Linked DNA regions of Ovis aries. The protein of the gene in region 6 purifies or fractionates together with the protein of the main gene of each other region. This does not show direct contact. Links are inferred from orthologs where the notes say so. Each region holds a gene or a part of one and is shown on either strand. Other genes may lie near its edges. The genes, in order: ACTL6A, tubulin alpha-1A chain, EFTUD2, EPC2, ZNHIT6, RUVBL1 and WDCP.

Region 1 (3,500 bases), on a different chromosome or scaffold from region 6:
CCATATTAGAGTAAGTGATTCCACATTATGTGGAATTTTGCATCTGATTTCCTCCATTTGGCATAAGGCTTTGGGGTTCATCAAAACCCAACTGGTATTTTGACTTGTATCAGTTATTTTGTTTCTTTTATTGTCAAGTAGTATTAATACTTCCTTTTATGGATATAGCACACTGTGTGTACCCATTCATCCAATGATGCACCTTTGGACTATATCCACTTTTCAGTTAATATGGACAATGCTGCTATGAACGTTTGCATTTAAGTATTTGTGTGGACATGGGTTTCAGTTCTCTCGTACTGATACCTAGGAGTGGAACTGTTTGGATTATAAGGTGAATTTATATTTAACCTATTAAGAAACTGTCAAACTATGTTTCAAAGCTGCTGTACTATTTTATGTTCTCTCCCAGAAATAGATATGGAGATTTCAGTTTCTCTATATCCTCATCACACTTGCTATTGTCTGTCTTTATAAAACAGCTATCCTGTGAGTGTGAAGCAGGGTGCTGAGTCTTTAATGTGCTCCCCTAGTAGACCATGGATTTCCCAGGTGGCTCAGTCATAAAGAAACCATCTGCCAATGCAGGAGACTCAGGAGATGCAGGTTCGATGCCTGGGTCAGGAAGAGCCTCTGGAAAAGGAAACGGTAACCCACTCCAGTATTCTTGCCTGGGAAATCCCATGGACAAAGGAGCCTGGGAGGCTACAGTCCATGGGGTCACAAAGAGTTGGATATAACTGAGCACGCATAACAGACTACACACACATGTTCCTCATTGCCGGAAGGTTTAAGCACATCCTTTATGACTACACTGTAAGCTCCTGGAAGCTTGTGCTGGTTTCCTCTGGACTTCACTGCATGCCCTTTTCTTCCTTTTGTCAGTTCTGCTTTGTATCCTTTCGGCATAATAAACCTTAGCTATGGTACCATTACATGCTGAATCTCGTGAATCCTTTTAGTAAATAACTGGACCTAAGAGTGACAGTGGACATTTGCTTTTTAAGGCCATAAAGCTTGCTCCTTCCCTAGTGCATGGTACCCCTTATTCAGTGACTCCAAAAATCTAGGAAACTTTTTTTCAAACTTTTGAAAGTTTAAATTCTCAGCACCATTTGTCCTGGATATCTCAGACAGCCACCTCAGGATCTCTGCCATCAGTGTTAAAATTTAAAACCTCTTCATTTCTCATTTGGACTCACCTCCCTAATTGATCTTCCTGTTTCTAGTATCTCCCTCTAATCATGCCTATGTATTACTGTTAAAATAATCTTTCCATTTGGCATATATGAGCGTTTCACATCTCTGTTTAAAAATTCCTTTGAGGTAACATTTCAGTTAACTGCTTAATATACTGGCATTCCAAGCCCTTTTATGATTGCTCTCTGCCTGCCTTTCCTGAAACCAGCCCTAATGCACCTACTATTATAGCCATACTTAACTGATGACATTCCTAAACATGTAAGTTTCTCCCACAATACCACTCTTCACACATGCTGGCTGCTCTGCTTTACCCAGCCTTGTCAGTCAGGCTAGTTCTTATCCAGTGATCAAGATTCAGCACAGTTAGCTCCTTTGTGAAAACCATCTCTGACCCCCACAGAGTTAAATATCTCTCCTCTGTAACCCCACTGCTTATCAAACACAGTTATATTTATATACACAAATCTAGCTTCTATACCTATAGGTTTGTTAGGAAAATAAACATGTTTTACGCATCTTTGTATTCTCAGTGCCTGGAACATCAGTTCATGGAATAAGAACAAGAAGATAGCTGATGTTCAACTTATAAGCAGCCACTGCTTTATATCTGAAATATACTATACATACTCTACATTTATAATCAAATCCATAGGAAAAAACATACCCATCCCATTTTTCAGTGGGGAGATGGCCTCTGTGTTCTCCCTCGGAACTCGCAGGGCATTCGTGTCTATGTAATAGGTGGGACCGCCTTGTTTGCCCTTATCACCATCGATTTCCATCAGTGTACTTCCATCATCTCTTTCTACCACCATACCAATAGCTGTAGGGAAATCCACCTGGAAGAGTCAAAAACATGATTTACAAGTTTTATATGCTTTTATCAAGGAGTCATTTCCCACCAACTAATATCTTTTACCATATTTGAGTTAGACTTTCTGAGTGAATTTAACTCTGCATGAATGGCTCCTGTATATCCAATTAACTCTAACATTACACTGACCTTGGGACAGTCTTCACCAGCATAACCAGCTCTCACAGTATAGGATCCAATGTCAAAAACAAGGGCTCCAACTTCATCTGAAAAGATGAAAAGATAACCAACATTAACAACTTACAAGTACCATATGAAAATTAAAGAGTACTTAATGTGCTTATATTCATGTTACTACTACTTTGAACCTAGTTTTAAATATGCTTTAAAGACTTATTTAATTAAAATATAGCAAGTCAAATATAGTATATTAGTAGAGGTTCAATCAGCAAAGAGACGATACGCTAAAATTAGGTAATTTAAGGAGAGTTTTTCTCCAAGCCAGGCAGCAATATGTGAACCGTGAACTTCCAGATGGTCAAGCTGGTTTTAGAAAAGGCAGAGGAACCAGAGATCAAATTGTCAACATCCGCTGGATCATGGAAAAAGCAAGAGAGTTCCAGAAAAACATCTATTTCTGCTTTATTGACTATGCCAAAGCCTTTGACTGTGTGGATCACAATAAACTGTGGAAAATTCTGAAAGAGATGGGAATACCAGACCACCTGACCTGCCTCCTGAGAAACCTATATGCAGGTCAGGAAGCAACAGTTAGAACTGGACATGGAACAACAGACTGGTTGCAAATAGGAAAAGGAGTATGTCAAGGCTATATATTGTCACCTTGCTTATTTAACTTACATGCAAAGTAGATGATGAGAAACGCTAGGCTGGAAGAAGCACAAGCTGGAATCAAGATTGCCAGAAGAAATATCAATTATCTCAGACACGCAGATGACACTACCCTTATGGCAGAAAGTGAAGAGGAACCAAAAAGCCTCTTGATGAAAGAGAAAGAGGAGAGCGAAAAAGTTGGCTTAAAGCTCAACATTCAGAAAACTAAGATCTGGTCCCATCACTTCATGGGAAATAGTTGGGGAAACAGTGTCAGACTTTATTTTGGGGGGCTCCAAAATCACTGCAGATGGTGATTGCAGCCATGAAATTAAAAGACGCTTACTCCTTGGAAGGAAAGTTATGACCAACCTAGATAGCATATTGAAAAGCAGAGACATTACTTTGCCAACAAAGGTCCGTCTAGTCAAGGCTATGGTTTTTCAAGTGGTCATGTATGGATGTGAGAGTTGAACTGTGAAGAAAGCTGAGTGCTGAAGAATTGATGCTTTTGAACTGTGGTGTTGGAGAAGACTCTTGAGAGTCCCTTGGACTGCAAGGAGATCCAACCAGTCCATTCTAAAGGAGATCAGTCCTGAGTGTTCTTTGGAAGGACTGATGCTGAAGCTGAAACTCCAATACTTTGGCC
Region 2 (4,268 bases), on a different chromosome or scaffold from region 6:
GAATGAGATTGCATTTTGACAGAAACTTTTAAAATGTAGACCTTCCTTAAATTACTCAGCATTTCTTTATTAAAAATATCTTCATGAATATTTATCAAATGACATCAAATAGGCCATATTTTAATTGAACTTTATAAATATCTCTCTTAGGTTCATTAATTTACTTTATTCTTGAGAATACACATACCAGTTTCCGAATTCGGTCCAAGACGAGGTCAATGATCTCCTTGCCAATGGTGTAGTGACCTCGAGCATAGTTGTTGGCAGCATCTTCTTTGCCTGTGATGAGCTGTTCAGGGTGGAAGAGCTGGCGGTAGGTGCCAGTGCGAACCTCATCTGGAAGAGGAAAACGAAGCAGCCACCCATCAATGACCCATACAAGCTCCACCCCAGGGTATCAGTGGAGCCCACAGGACACACCTCCTGTCACAGACCCTCAGGATTCTCATTGAAGCTACTGAGGTCAACTCACCAATGACTGTGGGTTCCAGGTCTACAAACACTGCCCTGGGCACATGCTTGCCAGCGCCTGTCTCACTGAAGAAGGTATTGAAGGAGTCGTCTCCTCCCCCAATCGTCTTGTCACTTGGCATCTGGCCATCGGGCTGAATGCCGTGTTCCAGGCAGTAGAGCTCCCAGCAGGCATTGCCGATCTGGACACCAGCCTGGCCAACGTGGATGGAGATGCACTCACGCTGTGGGAAGGAAAAGAGAAAAATTGTAAAATTAGTTATATTAGCATTTTCAATTTTCAATAAATTTCCAAAATGATTTCTAGTAATATACAAGTATTCTTTGAATTTATTTGAGGTCATATTCCTAACATAATAGAAACAGTTAAAGAAAAGCACTTGCTACAAATGCTGCAGATGGGTGTGGTCTGGATAAGGCTGCACTGTTAAGCACATGGTGCAAGCCGATTGTTCCAACAGCCATACTTGAATAGAAGATTTTTCATATTTAAAAAATAGTCAAGCACAAAATTTTTGTAAAATGAAGTAATTTCAATCACTAGTTAATTGCAATCATTATTACTGCCTCCTTCACCTTTAAAGATGAACATTTTTTTGATAGGACTTGGTATTTCAATATGGACATCTGTACTGCAGCTGAGGCTAGAAGCCACACCCTTCTGCAGTCTGTCTGCAGAATCCATCAGTATTAGGGGGTAGAAGCTAAACAAGGACTGTCTCCTGCACTGCTGCATTTGCTGTGCCTGGTGCCAGCCTGTACTGTCTGCTACATTATTTAACAGAGCAAGCTCTATTTCCAGCAACTGCCTACATGATCTCATTGTGCTATCTGCCAGTTTTCCTCTTCTGACCCAGCCTGGGACCATATGCCTAAACTGAAATGAATTCATGAAGATGCACTAGAACAAAAGACAGCTACACAAAGTATAAGTCTTCTTTGTCTGCAGCATTTTCATTATTTAAAAAAGTTTTCCCAGAATCTTCTCCTCTGCAAAAAACTGAAAAAGTATTAGTATCTTTAAAACAACAGTTCCTAAACTAGAAATAAATAGAACATGAAAAGCTACCAAGCTTAAAGCCCAGTGAAATAATTAAATATTTATATAAAACAACAAAATAATGTTTTCATTCTGAAATTTCGTACCCACCACAGAATACTCATGCTCATTACATTCAGTAGAGTGTCCCCTCCGTAGCCTTTACGGTTACAACTTCCTTTGTCTGTCCATTGTCTAGTCACTGACAAACGGGGGCTGGGGGCGGGGAAGGGCGTTTCCCTGGGTCCTCTGCATTAGAGCACCCTGGCTCACAAAATCGGCTTTTTCTCTCGCTGAACATGCGATCAAGACAGACACACAGGAGTCAGCCAGGGCGGGGCGGCCCCAGACCAGACGTTAAAGGGCTTGTCATGTGAACTGTGACTTTGCTCCTCAAAAAAAAAAAAAATCTAAGTTTTGACAGTGAATGAAAAACCTTTTAACGCCTACGGTTCTGTAAAGATGAAAGGCTTGTTAAAAGTCTTTCTGACAGAGGAGGCTTAGTGAGGACGAACCCCTCCCAGCGGCTCCAAGGCGAGAGAAGCAGAAACAAACAACTCCGCCCCTGCGCCGCCTCGACGCCGGCCGCCACAGAAACTAACCATTTTGCCTGTTAATACATGGGTGTCTTTCTAAAACACCAACGAACTGGCGAGGGATCCTTTTTTTTTAATACTAACCTCAGGCTCCGCTTTGTCCCTTTCCTTCTCTCCCCGAGTCTTCTTCCCAGCTACACCCACCGACCCCCGTCTTTTCGGTCGACGAATCCTCTCCCTGTCCCTGGGGAACAACGCGAGGAAGGGCTTCTCCGAGTCACACGACTATCGTGCGCACACGGGGGCCGAGCAGGCGACGCCAAGACCGCCCTGCCTGCCCCAGCCCCTTTCTTGACCGACAGATGGGCTGCTGCACGCGGCTGCCAGGGACTTGGGTAACAAAACCTCCCTAGGCGCCGCCTTTGTTCCCCCTCACTGCTCAGCCGCGCCCTGGACTCAGTCGTGGTGGGGCTCCTGCACCCCGCACTGCGGCGGGGAGTCCGGCCGCAGACAAAGCCAAAACTCGCAAATAAAATGTAAAGCTACTCTTACCCATCGAGTTGTAAAGGACAAAGGTTTTAAGATTTTCCAAGGAGACCCTGGGGAGGCTGACCCCACCCAGCGTCACAAAGAGCCGGAGGAGACACTCTTACCATAGTTGCTGTTTTGCGGCTGCCGAGCAGATGGCGGAGAGGAGAAGAGGTTGTTACTTCTTACAGCGCGACTCTTAGGCGGTCGATGTAAGAGAACCTGCGGCACATGGGCGTCTGAGGCTCCCTATATACAACTCGGTCACCATGGGGATGGGCTGGGGCCTTTTCCTGTTGGTCCAGACCCCTCAATCTGCCCAGAGGAGCCGCGACAGAAGAGTGGTGATTGGTGCATGCGACATGGGATGAGGTAATCTCTCCCCCACCCCTTTTCCCCTAGCATCCATAGACTGCTTGCATCCTTCAGACAAAGAGACCGAGCAAAAACAGTCAGCCGAGCATCCATTACGGGGTGGGGTTGGGAAGGGGTGGGGGGAGGGAGGGAAAGAGAACTGGAGTTGGGTGACTTTATATTGTTTAAACCTCAAACTGCTGTTAAAATCATCAATGTAAAGGTTTTCCTCCCAGCATTTAATCGCAGAATTTGAGATGAAATATTTTAATAGAAAATTACTTTCAGCTTCTCCCTCAGAGTGTGCTAAACCCACATTTGGTGAAGATTCAGTATCTCTAGTGCTTTAAAAATAAAGTAGAAGAGAAGATGGGAATGATGCTTAAAATGGCTTGGGTAAATGTGTTTTGTTTTGTTTTGTTTTTTTAATTAAAAAATTATTCAATAACCATCCAAAATGGTTTCTCAGGTTCAAGTAATTTTTTTTCAGACCTTCTTTTGCCACCCTCTCCCTAAAAGCTAAACAAAAACACTAGATGAAAAGAACAATCAATCTATGGAAGCACACAAGTAGTTCTAACATGAAGATAATTCAGATCTAATGAACACACCATACTTACTCTACTGGAAATATTCCAGAAGTCTATGTTAATATATTTTATGTCGTGTATTGTTGCTTAAAATGATCATCTTTTCTAATATAGAATTGAGAAAATACAAGGAGAGAGAATTGAGTTTAGACGCTAGTACTACCTGTGCATGCAGTTATATTCTGCATTGTTCTCTCTTCTGGAAAGAGAAAATTACTGGGATACCACATTAGAAAGGAAGAGAGTTGTATAGTGTGAAAAAGAAGACTATTTTGTAATATTGTCTCCTTCCGTAGACAACTGTGTAGATGTCACCTCAATAACTGCATTTTTTTTTAATGTAAATCTTATGTGAATTCAGTAAATTCTCCTCCTCTAAGATTGGGCTTCAAACTGTGGGAATTGTAGCCAGCCTCATACAGCTGCTATTCAGTCAGAGACACTGGTGGTTGCTCAACTGCCTCTTGGGACAAAAGGCTTTGCTTAAGGAAGTGGAGTGCAGTAACATTCTTTTGCTACTCAGAAAGCTTCCATTATCAACAAGGATGTACAGTGCAGAATATGCCTCTGGACTGGGTACCATTTGACGTTGCTAATGAAATTTCAGAGGTAAAGAGGTTTGCTGTGGCCCCTGAAGTTGAAAATATGCATTTTGGCAGATAATTTTTCCTTTTGGCTTTTAGCAAGAGATTTTCAGGGTCGGCAGCACCATTTATAGTGCTCTGCAGAATCCATTCATTCCTGCTGGGC
Region 3 (4,119 bases), on a different chromosome or scaffold from region 6:
CCTCCCCTCCACCAGGGCTTGAACCCATGCCCCCTGCAGTAGAAGCATGGAGTCCTACCACTGGACTGCCAGGGAAGTCCCAGCCCACTTGTTTGTTTGTTTTTTTAATACTAAAAGAATTTTAATTTTAAAATAATTAAATACAGGAAGTTGCAAAAACAGTGCACATCACTTTTTCCTAAGTTATTTGAGAATAAGTTGCTGACACAATGTCTCATCACCTCCTCAGACTTTAGTGCAGAAGTTGGTAAACTATAGCCTGTGGCCAAATCTGGCTGTTCTCATAACGGCCTGGAAGGTATGATTTTTAAAATATTTTTAAACAGTTGGAAAAAAAAGTCAAAGGACGAGTGTTTCATGATACATGACAATTAGTTCTATGAAATTCAAATTTCAGTGTCTATGAAAACAGCTTTACTAGAACACAGCCATGCCCCTTTCTTTATACCGTCTGTGACTGCTTTCAGCCTGTAACAGCTGAGTAGCTGCCTCTGAGACTATATGGCCACAGAGCCTAAAATACTTACTATCTGGCCCTTAATAGACAAAGTTTGCCAACCCCTGTTCTTAGCGCACATGATTCCTACAAACAAGGACATTCTTCTGCATAACCACAATACAACCATCAAAATCAGAAAATACTGACACATCACTACACCTAATCCACAGGCCCCCATACAAGTTTCAGAAATTGTTCCACTAATGTCCTGCACAGCAGAGGATTCCATGTTTGCACCTGGCTATCATGTCTTCAGTCTCTTTCAATCTGGAACAATCCTTGGCCTTTCCTTGATTTCTGTGACTTGACGCTTTTGAAGATTACAGGCTAGTGAGTTTGTAGAATGTTCCTGAATTTAAGTTTGTCTGATGTTTCCTCATGATTAGAGTCAAGTTATGCTTTTTTTTTTTGGTAAGACTATCACAGTAGTGAGGCTGTGCTCTTTTCGGTGCAACTCCTAACAAGTGGCATATGATTTTAATTTCTCCCATCAGTGGTGATGTTAACGTAACCACTTGATTGTGGTGGTGTCTACCAGGCTTTTCCACTGTATAAAGTTACTTGTTTTCTCTCCGCAGTTCATAAATATTTCGTGGGCTGTCTCCACTTCAAGTATTGAAATTCTATTCAAAATAACTGTTCAAAGACCATTTCCTTCAAGTCTTCCTTGAGCCTCAATTTCTCACTCACCTATGATGCCACAGCCTTTTGTGTCTTTATCAGCATTTACTTCTGTCATCAACGGTAGTTAACTGCATTAACTACCCTCAACAACAACTCTACAGCTTACAAGTAATAGACAACAGACCAGAGCATGGGTTACTGGTCAGGGCTCTGGAACTGGCAGACCTAGATTTGAATCCAAACTTTGTCACTTAATAACTATGTCACTTTCAGTAAGCCCTTCACCTCTCCAAGCCTGTTTCTTCAATTGGAAAATAAAGTGATTAATTTTCACCACATAAAGCATTATGAGAATTAAAAAAAATAGGCTGTGTAAAGAATTCATCATGATTCCAGGATCAATCAATGTTAACTGGCATTATTTTTTAGCCATTCTTTTGTCTGTTTTATTTGTATTTTTTAGTTAAAAAACTTTTTTGGCCATTCTTGAATACAGGAACCCTGTGCTCCTTGTGCCCATGTGCCAATGCCCAAGACACCACTTCACATGAGTAGGCACTAGATAAATGTTAACTGACCAGAAGGTTCAATTTTGAGATACTGGTATTTCTTCCACAACGGTAATCCCTCCACCTCCTTCAGTGCCCCTTGTGGAGTGCTGACTGTGGATAAAATAGAGAATTAAGAGCTCCACTACTAATAAGTAAATGTGATTTATCACAGAAACTTTCATATGCATATTCTTTTTATTTCCAAAGAGCTATCATCTCTGTGCACATTTCATTCTCCCAAGACACCCATGAAATGACTGCAGAAATTTCTATACAAGGCTGTTCATGAAATAATCCAAGTCATTTCTGCTTCAGGGCCACTGCACTTACTCTTCTCTTCCAAAATGCTCTTCCCTTGGGCATATATACCTTGTTCCTTCATCTCACTCAGGTCTCTACTAAAACAGCACCTTCTCTGAGAAACCTTCCCTTGTCACTCTAAAAAACTCCCCCCCCCCACACACACATTCTCCAACCCCTATTTTCAATGTTTTATTATTTTTATTAACATTTATCATTAGCTGACAAGTATCTTCGTGTATTTACCGTCACCTCTCCAACTACAGTTTAAGCAAGGACTGTTTTTGTTTTCACTTAAAAGGGTGCCTGCCACAAAACAGAACCACTTACTGAATGACGAAATGTATGGCCCCAACAAGGCACAGAGAAGACAGCTGACCTGCCCACAGTTGCACAAAACTAGTGAATTTCGGTACCAAACTTCACTGCAGCTTCCCGCTACAATGCAGGCTCTCAAAGGAACATAGAGTAACGACGGAGGGAGCTTGATAGAGAAGTGAAGGCGGCACAGTTGGAAGAGAGAGTAAGATAGGGGAATAGACACTGCAAGAACGACCCCTGCCCAGGGAAAGGGTTTTATAGACGGACGACACGCAGGGAACCCAGGAATCGGTTGGGGGGTGGGGGGGCTTTCATTCTCTATCCTACTCCACGCCTCAATTTACCCATCTGTAAAGTGAAAGTGGCATATAACACATAGCATCTCTTCCAAATCTGACTAATTTCCCATTCCACCAGAGCAAGCCTCCCCTGACGCTGACCAGCGCCACTCACCTCCCGCTGCTCAGCCAAAAACTCCCAGTCGGCCGCTGGAGATCGTGCTTCCGCCCCACGCCGCCTCACCGCCTGCGCCCGCCGTTCGGAAGGACCCCACAGGCGCCGCGGTTGCGTTTCTTCCCGGGAGGGCAGCCCTCTGCCTGTGGACCAGCTCGGAGGAATCCCGGCTGCGGACACCGGAACCTGAGAAGAGGAACTGTGGGTCCCCAAACCACGGCGTGGGCTGCTCCAGAGAAAGCGAGGCCTGAGGAGGCGTGAATCTGATCAGGCGCCTCGGGGCCACCCTGACTGGGGGCCTTCGGGGCGATCACGTGGGAGGCTGTTGTAGCAGTTGCTGGGCAACCACAGCTGCTGGGCGTGGTCTACGCTGAGCTGACTTCGTCGGGCAGTGTCTGGGCATCCCCAAAGAAAGAAAGGAAACCGAGGCCCCGGCTGCTGGGGTGAAGGTCAGGGGGCAGGAGGATTAGATGTTCTAGATTTTCAGTGACTGGGAAAGGCTTAGAACTAGGCAGGAGTCAGGACACCTGAGTTCAGTTCCTGGCCAGCCCACCCTACTTCTTGGTCTTTCGCTTACCCATGTTAGGGTGGAGGGTTGGTTTTAGGCCTCCTGCTTCCGTGTTGGGGCTTGCCTGGTGGCTCAGACGGTAAAGAATCTGCCTGCAGTGCTGGAGACCTGGGCCAGGAAGATGCCCTGGAGGAGGAAATGGCAACCCACTCCAGTATTTTTGCCTGGGAGATCCCAGGGACTGAGGAGCTTGGTGGGGATGACTTCGCCAAGTGATCTTTAGCAAATAGCTCGGAGCAGTAGTAGTAAGGTTCAGAAAGGTCTCACAGCAGTAAATGCGGATCCAAGATTAAAACTCGTATAGGTGATCTCTATAGAACGAATCAGTCAGCCTCAGACACCCGGAAGTTGCAGAAGTACAGAGACAGAACTAAAGAGGTTGCCCAAGTACCTAGAGATTTATGCTCCAGCCTTGGGCTGGACAGAGGGGTTTGAGAACGGGGATCATTAAGCCCCTTCCTCTGTCGCGTCCACTTGATTTCCTGCTCAGTCATTGCATCTGGTTTCGGGTGGAAAGTATCTTTTCTCCTTATAAGACATTTAAGTATGGGTGCTTCCCTGGTGGCTCAGATCATAAAGAATCTGCCTGCAGTGTGGGAGACCCGGGTTGGATCCCTGGATCGGGAATATAACACTGGAGAAGGGAATGGCAACCCACTCCAGTATTCTTGCCTGGAGAATTTCATGGACAGAGCCGCCTTCTGTTCAGTTCAGTGCAGTCGCTCAGTCGTGTCCAACTCTTTGCGACCCCACGAAGCGCAGCACATCAGGCCTCCCTGTCCATCACCAACTCCCGGAGTCCA
Region 4 (3,500 bases), on a different chromosome or scaffold from region 6:
ATCAGGTGGCCAAAGTACTGGAGTTTCAGCTTCAACATCAGTCCTTCCAATGAACACCCAGGACTGATCTCCTTTAGGATGGACTGGTTGGATCTCCTTGCAGTCTAAGGAGCTCTCAAGAGTCTTCTCCAATACAACAATTCAAAAGCATCAATTCTTCGGCACTCAGCTTTCTTTATAGTCCAACTCTCACATGCGTACATGACTACTGGAAAAACCATAGCCTTGACTAGACAGACCTTCATTGGCAAAGTAATGTCCCTGCTTTTTAATATGTTGTCTAGGTTGGTCCTAATTTTGCTTCCAAGGAGTAAGCGTCTTTTAATTTCATGGCTGCAGTCACCATCTGCAGTGACTCTGGAGCCCCCAAAAATAAAGTCTGCCACAGTTTCCATTCTTTGCCCTTCTATTTGTCATGATGTGATGGGACCAGATGCCATGATCTTAGTTTTCTGAATGTTGAACTGTAAGCCAACTTTTTCACTCTCCTCTTTCACTTTCATCAAGAGGCTCTTTAGTTCTTCTTCACTTTCTGCCATAAGGGTGGTGTCATCTGCATATCTGAGGTTATTGATATTTCTCCTGGCAATCTTCATTCCAGCTTGTGCTTCTTCCCGCCAGGGTTTCTCATGATGTACTCTGCATGTAAGTTAAATAAGCAGGGTAACAATATACAACCTTGATGTACTCCTTTTCCTATTTAGAACCAGTCTGTTGTTCCATGTCCAGTACTAACTGTTGCTTCCTGATCTGCATACAGATTTCTCAAGAGGCAGGTCAGGTGGTCTGGTATTCCCATCTCTTTCAGAATTTTCCAGTTATTGTGATCCACACAGTCAAAGGCTTTGGCTTAGTCAATAAAGCAGAAATAGATGTTTTTCTGGAACTCTCTTGCCTTTTCGATGATCCAGTGGATGTTGACAATTTGATCTCTGGTTCCTCTGCCTTTTCTAAAACCAGCTTGAACATCTGGAAGTTCACGGTTCATGTATTGCTAAAGCCTGGTTTGGAGAATTTTGAGCATTACTTTACTAGCGTGTGAGATGAGTAAAATTGTTAGGTAGTTTGAGCATTCTTTGGCATTGCCTTTCTTTGGGATGGAATGAAAACTGACCTTTTCCAGTCCTGTGGTCACTGCCCAGTTTTCCAAATTTGCTGGTATATTGAGTGCAGCACTTTCACAGCATCATCTTTAGAATTTGAAATAGCTCAACTGGAATTCCATCACCTCCAACAGCTTTGTTCTTAGTGATGTTTCCTAAAGGCCCACTTGACTTCACATTCCAGGATGTCTGGCTCTTACTATTTTTACACTTCTAAGAATCCTGCTGTCTAAAGTCATATTAGGTATTAATCCATTTCAGCTTCAAAAGGTCATTAAACTTCACAGACTCATGAACTTTATATAATGGGATACCATTTTCCTTACCTAAGTTCATTTGGGAGAAAATTAACCAACTAAGTTGGAGAAATGATATGGCAGCTTCCAATCATGCAAACAAATCCAATTTTCCATAACAACCTCTAAATAGACAAATGTGTAAGTAAAGTTTGAAAATAAACAGCTCAGTAATTAAAAAGGACTGAACACTATTGAGACAAAATTTCAACCTAAAATGATTTAAAATCACTTTGAAGAAGTATAACACATCAATTTTATATAGTAAAATACACTGTCCAGGAAATAATTTAGAAATAAATACATTTTACAGAAAGAAAGGATATCAACAGTTTAAGTCAAGCCACGTCTAGCTTTGCCTTTGTATACCATGCATTTTTTGCAATTTATACATTATAAAGACATTCACAAGTTATACACTTATATATATGTGATAAAGAGAAGACTATCCACAGAAGAAAACAAATAAAAATTACATCTTAAGAGTCTCTAGATGTTACACATTATTCACAATGCCAAGGTATATTAATTTTAGTACAATGTCTCTTAAAACGTAAAATACTTCTTGATCTCAATTAGAGAGGTATATTATCAGACCAAAACTACATTTTTCAGAAAGAAAGCTTTAATGGCATTTCTGAGGGGCAATGCTTACATTTAAGCAAAGTCGATACAATAAATGAAAGCGAAAGGAAAAGAGGCTTCCCTGTTGGCTCAGATGGTAAAGAATCTGCTTAAAATGCGTGAGACCCGGGTTTGATCCCTGGGTCTGGAAGATCCCCTGGAGAAGGAAATGGTAACCTACTCCAGTATTCTTGCCTGGAGAATTCCATGGACAGAGGAGCCTGTCAGGTTAGTGTGTTAAGCTTTCTATAACAAAAACACTTTTGTGCTATGATGATCTAATAGTAGCTAATAATCACTCTGCCCAGAGAGAATTCTCTACACATTCTCCCTACACACTCACCATACCAGGCACACACATTCAAAGTGAGTGGTTTTACAGGTATTGGTTTGGAACTTTTGGTTAAAATGCAAACCACAATAATAGAGTTTAGTTTCCTACATTGGGGGGAATTGTTAAGCTACAATTCCTTTCCTCAGTAGGATCATGAAAATAAACCTTCAAAATTCATCCTGAAAGACTAGTGGATAATGAAAAATTAAGAAGAGAAGAGGATATACTTTTAACAAGTAGCAACTTACCTGATATGCCATTCTTGCTGGTGTTCAATAAAGCTACAGATGCTGCAGAAACTCTTCTATTGTTCACAGTCTGCCCTGGTTTTCTTGAGGTACATTCTTCACTATCACTGTCCTGTAAATTTAGTAGCCTTGGCTGGAAACACTGTAGTCGACACGATCTGATATTGCTTAATATTTCAGAAAGGGACAGTCTATTTTCACAATGTTTATTGGAAGCATTGGTCCGAGAGAAATTAGAAGAAAAGTCTATATTTTGGGAAGCGCTTGAAAAACCATTCAGCATTTCAGGGTCTATCTGTTTCAGGACTGGGTCATGTTCTGTGGCTATCCGGTCCATTATGACCCTGAAAAACAATATAAAGCCAAATATTACCTAGAAGAACTTAATAACATTTTCTTAATACTGTCCCCTTCCATCTTGTAAACAAATACCATGTCAAAACGAACAGTTTACCTTCCACCTCTGCCAATTCGCCTTCTTGCAAATCCTATACATCGTCTTGGGACTGTGAGTGTTGTAAGACAATGCCTGTATCTTAACTTATCCAAATCTGCCAATTCTGAATTTCCAAATGAACGGTTAGTTTGGTCCAAACGAGGCTGCACAAAAGGGAAGGAAAAATTGAAACTCATAGAATAATTCTGAAATGAAGAAAAGTTAAATCATGATAAAAATAAACTACAGTATTAGCAGAACAATTAAAATTTAGATATAAAAATTTAAAATCGGGATTTAAATGTTAACCAGGTTAAATTCTATAAAACTGATAAAGAAGTTCACTCATCAAAATAAACTAAATTTTTATGACTATCAATACATTTAAGATATATTTTAAAAGAAATATATTTAAAGAACAATGTGGCTTCTAACATTTATGTAGAAGAGTTGCTATTC
Region 5 (4,177 bases), on a different chromosome or scaffold from region 6:
GGGACGACAGAGGATGAGATAGCTGGATGGTATCACTGACTCGATGGACATGAGTCTGAGTGAATTCCGGGAGTTGGTGATGGACAGGGAGGCCTGCCGTGCTGCGATTCATGGGGTTGCGAAGAGTCAAACACGACTGAGTGACTGAACTGAACTAAACTGAACTAAACCTACTGTTGTCCTCTATCTTTCAGATGCACTTAACTCTATCTGAAATTATATTTGTTCCTGTACTCATCCCCTGTCTCTCCCGCTACAAGTTCCATGAGGGGAAGGACTTAGTTTTGGTCACTGCTGTATCCCTAGCAACTGGAATAGCCCTGGATCATAGTAGCCACTTAATACACTATTTGTTGAGTGCAAAAAGAAAAAAAAGAATCCATTTGACTAGAAGAAATTCTAACTGGGAAAGAACAGAAGAAATACTTACATGTTTATTGCTGATTGGTCTTTTCAAGAAAGCATCTCTAGAAATATGGTCTGCTGTTCTTGCCACATCTTCTAAAAATCGATAATCTACAAATTTAAAAAAAAAACAGAAAAATAAATAAATGATATATGCCTATGGCCAAGAAGCATCAGTCTGCTATACATAAGATGGCTTACCACTTAGGAGATTCATTTCTGTAAACTGTTGTATTGAAACATACGCAGTTTTATCTCGAACTCCATTACATGTTAGTTCTGCTTTGTGTTTCTTTACACAGGGCAAACTGAAGGGACAAAGAGAAGGAACTTTTACCTTTTGAGATTAAAAGGGTACAGGCAGAGATAATAAGGTAGAAATTACATATATACCTGCAGGAATACCGCAAACAACGTGGACATCTGTACTTTGCTTCTTCTGTACCACAAGTTTCACATCTACAAAAGCCCATAAGAAACTTAATAAATTATCAAATATTAATTCTATATATTTATTTATAAACTTTTAATCCATCACAATTCACAGACATGCAGTCACAGTGAATAAAGTAGATGCAAGTAACTCTAATGAAATAATGGACAGCTGTCAAACATTATTAGAAAATTCCCCTCTAGGAAACCATCTCTAAATGACACTACATTTACAATGTTGTTTAATGATAGGTAATTCAAGAAAACATGTACTACATTTAAAAAATTATCTCACTGAGACTTCCTTTTCTAAATAATCAGACAGTGAGATCGTTTATTGATATTTTAACTTTGTAACTCCTGACGCTGTTAACAACTGTGTGTGTGCACATACCCAGAAGTCCAATCCATGAGCTGTGTATATATCTTAAAGGCAGACACATTCAGAAAAAGAAGACCCAGGCAAATTTAGAGAGCAGCAGTTGCATCTTTTTTCCTCAGTTCCTCACGCAACTGAGAATGGGCACCAAAACCCTCTAGAAATACTACTACCCATCATCTGTCTCCAACTGATCTTTCACTTGAGTGACAGTGTACAATGACAATCAAACTACAAACAGACAAGCAAACTACATGTTGGTTCACTGTATTCGAGACAGAAATGGTCCCAAGAATCTGACTACTCTCATGCCACATGATCACACTATAAAGAAATTAAATCAAAAGCAATAAATGTTCACAGTACCCATAGAGAAAAACTAGCCAAGTGAGTGAGTCACAATGTACTTTGCCTAATTTTAACTTACTCCACTTTTCCTTGCTGGTTTTATTAGACTGTTCCTCACACCTATCCTCTCTCAAAGGAATACTGAGCCAAGGGCATACAAAGTCAAGCCAGATTCTGGTCCACGGGTTTTCCGGTCCCAAGAATTTTCACTTCCTAACTTGGCCACTGGACACTAGTACCAACCTCACATATTTCCACAGAATTTGCTGTTATCAGACAAAACCCTCCTTTCCTAATCGCCCCTCCCTCCACCACTCAGACTCCCGGCCCAAACACGCGCTTATTTTTCATTATTCCACACCTTACTGATCGTGTAGTTTCTTTCAACCTAGATAACAAAGGACCTTCACAGCTCTGCCCTACCTTGACATGGCCAGTTTCCGCTTGGAGCCCACTGAGGGATTTATTTGAGGCTCTTCTTTCACCCTTGTATCATCCATCATTTCTTCTTTGGGGGAATACTTCTCTTCTTTTACATACACTTCATCCATTATTTCCTCCTTTTTAATATTCTGATCAAGAGACACTTCCTCACGTTTAATATCCAAGCTATCTTTCTTCTCTTCCTTCACTTCCAGCCAGTCCATCACTTCTTCCTTCACCTTCACTTTCTCTTCCTTTATCTCTGTTTCTTCCACCTTTTCTTCTTTTACCATCAAACTACTATCCATCTCCTGCTTCACCTCCAGTGTGGCTGGTTTTTCCTCTTTCACCTCATGTCCGTCCTCCTCCTGCTTTACCCACTGGCCATTCAGTGTACCTTCTACCATTTCTGACCAGTCCATTACTTCTTGCTTCACAACCGTTAGGGCTATTCGCATCTCCTCTGCTCTTCGTCTACTTTCTTCTTCCCCTGCCCCTGTCTTCTCCATTCCGGTCAGACCATTCTCCGCCCCTCCAGCGCCAGACTCCTCCGTCCTTACTTTCTCTTGATCTGACTCGAGACTTAGCCGCGCCCCCTCAGCTTCACTCTGGAGACCTCCTCCCGACATCTCTTCACTTTCAGCAGCAAAATCCATCATCTCAAGATCCTTGACCTCCGTTGCCACTCCGTCCTTCAATGTGTTTGGTTCACGCCAAGAGGGCTGAGTTACCTGCAAAAACACGAAGAGCTGCCCACGTGCATAACAGAGAAGTAGCAAGCAGTGGACGCCGACCCGGCGCGCCTGTCCCAACGGTCGTAAAGCAACGCTTCCGCACCGTGCCCTTTCACGACTCATGGAGCTCTTTACGGCTCTGCGGCAGTCCCGCCCAGATCTTCCCGGGATCCGTCTGAGACCACGCCCACTTCGATCCCGCTTGCGGGGCGGGGTTTCATCAAACCCTTCCCTTGGAGAGGCGGTGCTTTCTGCACGGGGCCGCATGCTTCCGCTTTAAGAGACCGGAGGAGTTCAGAATAAGGGAGAGAGGCGGAATCCTCGCTACATTCGAATGTGAAGACCTACCCTACTCTGTTCTAAGCTTGCATGAAGATGGAAGAAATACCTAATAGCACTATTCTCCATGCTTCAGTTTCTTAAGCAGTACTCCAGAGACGATGGTATTATAAATCTCTTAGTTTAGTTTGATGTTACGTGTAATAATGTATGGAAATAAGCTAGCAGTGATAAAACAAACAACATATCGTCTCTATTATTACCGGGAGGTTTCAGGTAGAAAGAAGGCATTATTTTTATTCTTTCAGTTATTTGTCAATAACAGCTGGCATCAGCCAGTTCCCTATTTACAGCATATATTTAAAGACTGGGTCAAAAAAATCAGTCTCCAGGATTTCCTAGAACTTATAGGGGAAAAAACCCAAAACAACCCTCAATAAATGAAAATTTTTCTGGCATCCATTTCAGTTACTTTTGTTGTTGTTGTGTTGTTGAGTTGCTAAGTCATTTCCAACTCTTTTGCAAGTCCACCAGGCTCCTCCTCTGTACTCTAGGCAAGAGTACTGAAATTGGTTGCCATTTTCTTCTTTAGGGAATCTTCCCTACCCAGGAGTTGAACTCGTATCTCCAGCGTCTTTGCATTGCAAGTGGATTTTTACCACTGAGCCACCAGTTACTTTTAAAGATTGTTATCACGTACTGATAACCATGATGGTGTGATCACTCACCTAGAGCCAGATATCCTGAAATGTGAAGTCAAGTGGGCCTTAGAAAGCATCACTATGAACAAAGCTAGTGGAGGTGATGGAATTCCAGTTGAGCTATTTCAGATTCTAAAAGATGATGCTGTGAAAGTGCTACACTCAATATGCCAGCAAATTTGGAAAACTTAGCGTGGCCACAGGACTGGAAAAGGTCAGTTTTCATTCTAATCCCAAAGAAAGGCAATGCCAAAGAATGCTCAAACCACTGCACGATTACACTCATCTCACATGCTAGTGAAGTAATGCTCAAAATGCTCCAAGCCAGGATTCAGCAATATGTGAACCGTGAACTTCCAGATGTTCAAGTTGGTTTTAGAAAAGGCAGAGGAACCAGAGATCAAATTGCCAACATCCGCTAGATCATGGAAAAAGCAAGAGAGTTCCAGAAAAACCTCTATTTCTGCTTTATTGAC
Region 6 (3,500 bases):
TCGTCACCGTCACCGCTGTCTTCTGGTCTTGAAGGGACGGCAGCTTGGACCAGGTCCAGGCCAGCCAGGGCCTGGCTCCCCGGGCAGCATCTGGAAACGGCACCTGGCCTGGAGAGCCCGGTGTCCGGCCACACAGGCGCCGCGTATGTTTTCTGGGCTCGCTTTGGTGGGGCCTGGCTTCAGGGTGACAGTGGGCAGAGGGGCCCAGCCTGGACAGCTGGCGCCCCCTGCTGAGGGAGCCCCGCGGCCAGAGCCCACCCCGGCCGAGAGCTCTCAGGGTCAGAGTCCTCTTCGCCTCCTGCCGTCTAGGGAAAAAAGAGGCACGGGAGGGTGGCCGTGACCTCAGAACCCACCCAGTGGGGCCTGGGGAACTTGGCCCCAGCCCCATCCAGAAGGATGTGTGTTCCAGAAACCATTTTCTCTAATACGTTGTCTGAAAGAAATTTTGTGCCTCAGAGTCCGAGCTTGAACACATTTCCACAGTCTTTGGTCTTTAATTCCTGAGAAGTGCTTAGTATTTCTTAAGCAGAGTTTTTGTTTTTGTTTTCTGTTAAAATTTTTAGTTTTATGGACTTAAAACCAAAAGAAGATTTTAACACATGTTGACAAATTCTGTTCCTTCGTGTTTTTTTCCCATTTTTTTTTCTTTAGACTTTTATATTCACTGTCTCTGAAATGAAGATAATTTATCATGAGTGTTATAGAAGTGGGGATGTTTCAAGATGGCGGATTGAGATCGTTTAAACTTTCCCAGGAGAATATCTAAGTAGAAAGAGAAAAATACAGCCTACACAGAATCAAATAACTGAAGATTAAATGAGGTTTTAGAGGTTATTTTGTTTAATATGACGATTACAGGTATACCAAATACTGAGTTTAATCATGACAGAATTTTTTCCTTACAATTCTTTATTTTTTTTAGAAATATTTGTTGGTGAAAAAGATTCATTTTTTTCTAGTGGCTTCTTAACATTTTGCATTTGCTACTAGTCTGTTTCCTTTTTTGTTTGAAAAGGTCTTAATTATTTTTAAGTATTAGATTTAGCAATGATTAATGTAGCATTTTATTATTTTATTTTTTCATTGTGGTAAAATGCATAGAACATAGTTTGCCGCTTTAGTTACTTTTAAGTGTTGGGGAGGCCAGAACTGGGGGCCTGCTGCTGTGGCCTGCTCAAGTGGAGGCAGGAGCCCCCGGCTCAGCTCGCTGGGCTTCCAGACGCGGCTGAAGCCTAACACGTGCCGCAGGGTCTGCCTGGGACACAGCCCGCTGGGAGCTGGTGCTGTTCAACCCGGTGGGGTGGCCAGTCACTGGTTTGGCTAAGGATTCGAGAGAGAGACAGGCAAAAGTTATGATGGGACAGTTCCCCAAAAGAAATAAATAACTGATGGACACGAGGGAAGGCCTTCAGACGATTCATGAATAATCAAGGACGCGCAGAGTCAGATGCGGTGCTAGGCCTTCCTTTTCCTAGAACTTTAGGCAGCAAACTGTGAGGCTGCTCAGCGCTGGCCACAGTGTCGGGGGGCCAGATCGCTCGCGCGGCTGCAGACGTGAGCACATTCCTTGGTTCAGCCGTCCATGTGTTTAGGGAGATGTTCAGGGTTGTGTCCGGCTCTGTGAGAGATGCTGAGGAAGTGTTCATGGCAGTTATGCCTAAGACACCGTTAGTTATAACAGTAACACTAGGGACCACTACGTGAATGCCCTGTAGTTTGGGTCCAGTGAGACTCGTCATGGGCTGTTTATACTGAAACAACAGGGACAGGAGCGGCCCAAACGGATCTGCACACTTAGGGTGGCGCGCGGGGGTGGCAGATGCCGCTGTGAACAGCCTCGCCGCGGCTGCAGTTGGCCTTCTCCTCCTCCCCCGACTCCCCGTGGTGGTGATACTCGCAGAAACAATGGCGTGGTTTCTGATGCCACCCGAGTGAGTCTGTCCTCGCGGTCCTGCTTCTGACTCTCAGGACGAGAACTAGCTGCTTTGTTATCACCGGGGCCTCGGCCATGGTTCCACTGTCCAGAGAGGCCCGAGTGACCTGGACCTTGTCGGCCTTGCAGGGGCACGGAGGACGTCACCTCTCCTCACGGCATCCCTCTCGACCTTCTGGACCGAGTGATGATCATCCGGACCATGCTGTACACCCCGCAGGAGATGAAGCAGGTGGGCCGCGCCGCCCCTCCTCCCCGCCCTCGCTCGCCCTCGGGCCCCTGACACCGGGCAGGACGGAGCCCGTGAGTGTCTCTGGCCCCCCACCGCCCCCCACGGCGCTGCCGGCCGAGGGCGTGTCTCCGTGCTCCCCAGCCTTGGCCCACCTGAGTGACGCGAGCCAGCAGGGCGTTGCCTCCCGTGTCCCAGCGGCTCAGCTGCCGGGAGTCCTGGCGGTCCTCTCTTCTACCCCATCCCGCCTGGTAACCTTAGGACGTGGGAAAACCAACTGGAGGACCACCAGTAAGCAGGCCCCAGCTCAGAGAGGCAGCAGAGCGCCCCTCAGTGATGGGCCCGCCCAGGCGCCAGCCCGCCGGAGCCTGCGGCAGCCTGGCTCCCGCGGGCAGAGCCCAGGCCCCAGCAGAGGCAGTGTGGGTGGCGGCCGTGGAGTGACGCTCGCAGGGAAGGTGTGCAGGGGCACGCCGAGCTCACGGCGGCTCCGCCTGTGCTGAATCAGGAGAGGTGACGGGCCGCGGGACTGGCCTCGTCCGCAGGGCGCAGCCCCAGCTCTCCTTGCAGAGTCGGAGCCGCAGCCACATGCCCGCAGCGCCCGCAGCCTTGGCAGCCCCGTCCCTTCTGGGCCTTCCGAGCCATCCTCTCCCCCGGTGCTGGCTGAGCCCTAAGTGGCGATTCCAGGACACAAAGCCGGCCGTGTGCTGCGGGGCCCAGCCATCTGCTCTGCCCACCCTGACCCCAGACAGTCTCGCTGGGGCATAGGTCTCACTGTGGGTCCCCGTACAGCCACAGCTGGGGACCTGGGGTGCCCAGGGCCGCACTGACATCCGGGGGACTCTGCCAGACCGTCTCCTCCAGAGCACTCTCGGATGGGGTACTGAGTCGTTTGATCCCGTCACTCAAGGTAGGGCAGACAGTTACTACTGATGTTCTTAAAGAGCGGGTGCTGAGATGTAGACTGGTTAGCTTGCCCGGGTTCACATGGCCCATCTGTGGCAGGACTGGGACTGGGACCCAGGCTGTCTCATCCTGAAGCCCCTTACCTGATGTCTCTGCCACCAGCCTCCTCCCTGTGAGAAATGTCCCGTCTGGGAGGCAGTCTCTGTGGCAATTGGCCAGCAGGCTGCTCCTTTCGGAGCTCAGAGGGCCTCTCCTGGACCCTCCGCAGCAGCACCCCGCCTGCCTGTGGCCTGTCTGGCCTGGCCTTGCGTGTCCTGTGGACCAGCGCCCAGGAGGCCCGTGACGTGTAGAGCCAGCGCTCTCCCTGCGTGACGGCATGGCTCAGACCCCAGGTGGTTGAGCACCGTGGCGGCAGCAGCTGGGTGGGAGGTGGGG
Region 7 (2,494 bases), on a different chromosome or scaffold from region 6:
AAACCAAAAAACTTCATGTGGCTCACTTTATTTCAGTGGCCTGGAACCAAAATCTGCAATCTCTGAGGTATGCCTGTTTCTAAAACAGCCAAGCAGTTTTTCCTCACCATCTGATTGTCTTTCTCATGCTGCCATCCATCATCCTATAAAGCTATTAGTCTCATCCTAGAAAAACCAATTCCTAGAGATAAAGACATAACCTTGGGGAGGAACAGAGCAAAAGGAAATTTGGGGTTGTATCTTGTCTGTTGCTTTAGTTGTGCAAAATAATGCAGCAAAAAGCTCCTTATTAACACTGAAGTTGATAGTGGTAATAGATAAGAATTTGTTAAACTGTACATTCTATTCTTAAGAAATGTTAACCCCATTGCTTCTGCAATCAGTTTAACAATTTTTATCTTTATTTTTGAAGAAATGTCATTTTGTACGTCCTGTTGTTGAAAAAAGAATGATGCTTCTCTGCAATGGCAAGCTAAGACTCAGCACAGTCCAACAGACTTTCGGCCTCTCTCTTGTTGAAATGCTGCATGGTAGGTAAAATTCAGAAGGCGACTCTACCCGATATCCCCTCCCTCAATTTTGTGACTGTCACTGGTGATGAAAATGAGGTGTACCAACCATTTAGTGATTCAGTAGACAGTTAAAAAGTATTATTAATTGTTATTGTATATCTAGGCCTGTTATAGGTGCCGAAACACACAGAAAATATGGGTTCTGCCCTTAAGGAACTTGCAACCTAGTTGAAAAACCTGAGTGCACACATGAAAAAACTAAATAGAGTTGCAAAGCAATACGTAACAACTGCAGGAAATGACAGAAAACCTCATATGTAGTAGTTGCATTAAAACATAAAAAGCATCGCAGAATATTTCTTTTGTGTGTGTGGCGGGGGGCGGGGCTCTGTGCACACACATTCTTTCATCTGTTTATTAATTTGGGGGCTACACCACATGCCATATGAGATCTGAGATCTTAGTTCCCCAGCTAGGGATTGAACCCTTGTCTGCTGCAGGGGAAGTCTTAGCCACTGGATGGCTAGGGAAGTTCCTATATTCTTTTTTCAAAATATTCTTTCCCATTGTGGTTTATCACAGAACACTGAATATAGTTCTCTGTGCTATACAGTAGGACCTTATTGTTTTCTTTCTTTTTGGGGGCCGCGCCTTGAAGCTTGTGGGGATTCAGTTCCCCAACCAGGGATTGAACCCAGGCCACAGCAGTGACAGCCTGGAATCCTAACCACTCGGCCACCAGGAAACTCCCATAGAATATTTCTTAAAGGCATTGTCATTTTTTTTTTAATTTATTTTTTTTATTGAAGGATAATGCCTTTACAGAACTTTGCTGCTTTCTGTCAAACCTATGAATCAGCCATAGGTATACATATATCCCCTCCCTGGAACCTCCCCCCCATGTCCCTCCCCATCCCACCCCTCTAGATTGATACAGAGCCCCCGTTTGAATTTACTGAGCCATACAGCAAATTCCTGTTGGCTATCTATTTTACATATGGTAATGTAAGTTTCCATGTTACTCTTTCCATACATCTCACCCTCTCCTCCCCTCTCCCCATGTCCATAAGTCTCTTCTCTATGTCTGTTTAGGAGCTGTCATTTTAATATGCAGCATACGTGCACATGAAGGACTCTCCTAGATGCCTTAGGACTGACTCATGCCTGTGTTCCATCTGATGGGCAACATGGTGGTTTTCTTATGCCTCAGTCTTCAGGACAGCCACACGCTAAACATAAAGTTTTTTTTTAATTTCATTTTTTTTTCCTGCTAAACGTTTGTAGCATCAGCATTTTTCTATTTTGATACATGCATTTATGATACGACTTGATAACTGTAATTTTTACTGGGTTAATATTCTGTCTTGGATATACCATATTTTTTTTCCTTCCAGTTTTATTGAGATACAATTGACATACAGTGCTATAAAGTGTACAACATAACAATTTGACTTAATACATCATGTAAGTTAGTGAAGAGCCATCATCTCATATAGACAGAAAAACTTTTTCCTTGTGATGAGCAGTATTTACTCTCTTAATACCATATTTCAGTTTGCCTTGTTTTCTTTGACATTTAAGTGGTTTCCAATTTTTCATTATCATCAATAACACTAATAAAAACCTTTCTGTATTTTATACATTTTTGGAAAGTGTAGATTTTCAAAAGTGAAATTACAGGGTCACAGTAGACTCAAAAGAACCAGAAAAAGTCCAGGTATGTGTTATACCAGTGGTCCTAGGTTACCTCAGAACAAACTATTTAGGATTATCTGGGCATTTCTAGCCTGGCGCTAGTCAGCTCAACCTCCTTGGGTGTCTAGAGGCTGGCATGGATCTCAAAAATATAGACTTGTCCTCCATAGAGTTGCTGTTGCCAGCTTTGTGTAGTTTCTGGAGAAACTACTAGATGGCATTAGAAAAGGTAGGGACACCATCCACACCCCCTAACACCAGCATGCACACATGCACACACGAGCTCA

Evidence for each region.
Region 1: the proteins of RUVBL1 (region 6) and ACTL6A purify together in Homo sapiens (affinity purification with mass spectrometry; 10 studies listed by BioGRID and IntAct, counting the BioPlex papers as one, with this or other methods). This does not show direct contact. The link is inferred for Ovis aries from reciprocal best matches to the Homo sapiens genes RUVBL1 and ACTL6A.
Region 2: the proteins of RUVBL1 (region 6) and tubulin alpha-1A chain purify together in Homo sapiens (affinity purification with western blotting; 3 studies listed by BioGRID and IntAct, with this or other methods). This does not show direct contact. The link is inferred for Ovis aries from reciprocal best matches to the Homo sapiens genes RUVBL1 and TUBA1A.
Region 3: the proteins of RUVBL1 (region 6) and EFTUD2 purify together in Homo sapiens (affinity purification with mass spectrometry; 4 studies listed by BioGRID and IntAct, with this or other methods). This does not show direct contact. The link is inferred for Ovis aries from reciprocal best matches to the Homo sapiens genes RUVBL1 and EFTUD2.
Region 4: the proteins of RUVBL1 (region 6) and EPC2 purify together in Homo sapiens (co-immunoprecipitation; 3 studies listed by BioGRID and IntAct, counting the BioPlex papers as one, with this or other methods). This does not show direct contact. The link is inferred for Ovis aries from reciprocal best matches to the Homo sapiens genes RUVBL1 and EPC2.
Region 5: the proteins of RUVBL1 (region 6) and ZNHIT6 purify together in Homo sapiens (co-immunoprecipitation; 3 studies listed by BioGRID and IntAct, counting the BioPlex papers as one, with this or other methods). This does not show direct contact. The link is inferred for Ovis aries from reciprocal best matches to the Homo sapiens genes RUVBL1 and ZNHIT6.
Region 7: the proteins of RUVBL1 (region 6) and WDCP purify together in Homo sapiens (affinity purification with mass spectrometry; 6 studies listed by BioGRID and IntAct, counting the BioPlex papers as one, with this or other methods). This does not show direct contact. The link is inferred for Ovis aries from reciprocal best matches to the Homo sapiens genes RUVBL1 and WDCP.

The regions. Positions count from the first base shown.
Region 1 is NC_056054.1:208,331,245-208,334,744, forward strand, and holds part of ACTL6A (actin-like protein 6A), read right to left. Parts: intron 2,284-3,500; coding exon 2,207-2,283; intron 2,043-2,206; coding exon 1,868-2,042; intron 1-1,867.
Region 2 is NC_056056.1:137,067,846-137,072,113, reverse strand, and holds the start of tubulin alpha-1A chain, read right to left. Parts: upstream 2,801-4,268; 5' UTR 2,703-2,800; coding exon 2,700-2,702; exon of another isoform or gene 2,191-2,699; intron 696-2,190; coding exon 473-695; intron 337-472; coding exon 188-336; intron 1-187. UniProt on the Homo sapiens protein: Tubulin is the major constituent of microtubules, a cylinder consisting of laterally associated linear protofilaments composed of alpha- and beta-tubulin heterodimers.
Region 3 is NC_056064.1:44,341,667-44,345,785, forward strand, and holds the start of EFTUD2 (116 kDa U5 small nuclear ribonucleoprotein component), read right to left. Parts: upstream 2,801-4,119; 5' UTR 2,749-2,800; exon of another isoform or gene 1,702-2,748; intron 1-1,701. UniProt on the Homo sapiens protein: Required for pre-mRNA splicing as component of the spliceosome, including pre-catalytic, catalytic and post-catalytic spliceosomal complexes. Component of the U5 snRNP and the U4/U6-U5 tri-snRNP complex, a building block of the spliceosome.
Region 4 is NC_056055.1:160,788,409-160,791,908, forward strand, and holds part of EPC2 (enhancer of polycomb homolog 2), read right to left. Parts: intron 3,206-3,500; coding exon 3,060-3,205; intron 2,950-3,059; coding exon 2,606-2,949; intron 1-2,605. UniProt on the Homo sapiens protein: May play a role in transcription or DNA repair.
Region 5 is NC_056054.1:62,750,581-62,754,757, forward strand, and holds the start of ZNHIT6 (box C/D snoRNA protein 1), read right to left. Parts: upstream 2,801-4,177; 5' UTR 2,647-2,800; coding exon 1,988-2,646; intron 865-1,987; coding exon 799-864; intron 714-798; coding exon 607-713; intron 517-606; coding exon 431-516; intron 1-430. UniProt on the Homo sapiens protein: Required for box C/D snoRNAs accumulation involved in snoRNA processing, snoRNA transport to the nucleolus and ribosome biogenesis.
Region 6 is NC_056072.1:59,415,849-59,419,348, forward strand, and holds part of RUVBL1 (ruvB-like 1), read left to right. Parts: intron 1-2,062; coding exon 2,063-2,165; intron 2,166-3,500. UniProt on the Homo sapiens protein: Possesses single-stranded DNA-stimulated ATPase and ATP-dependent DNA helicase (3' to 5') activity; hexamerization is thought to be critical for ATP hydrolysis and adjacent subunits in the ring-like structure contribute to the ATPase activity.
Region 7 is NC_056056.1:31,711,822-31,714,315, reverse strand, and holds part of WDCP (WD repeat and coiled-coil-containing protein), read left to right. Parts: intron 1-412; coding exon 413-530; intron 531-2,494.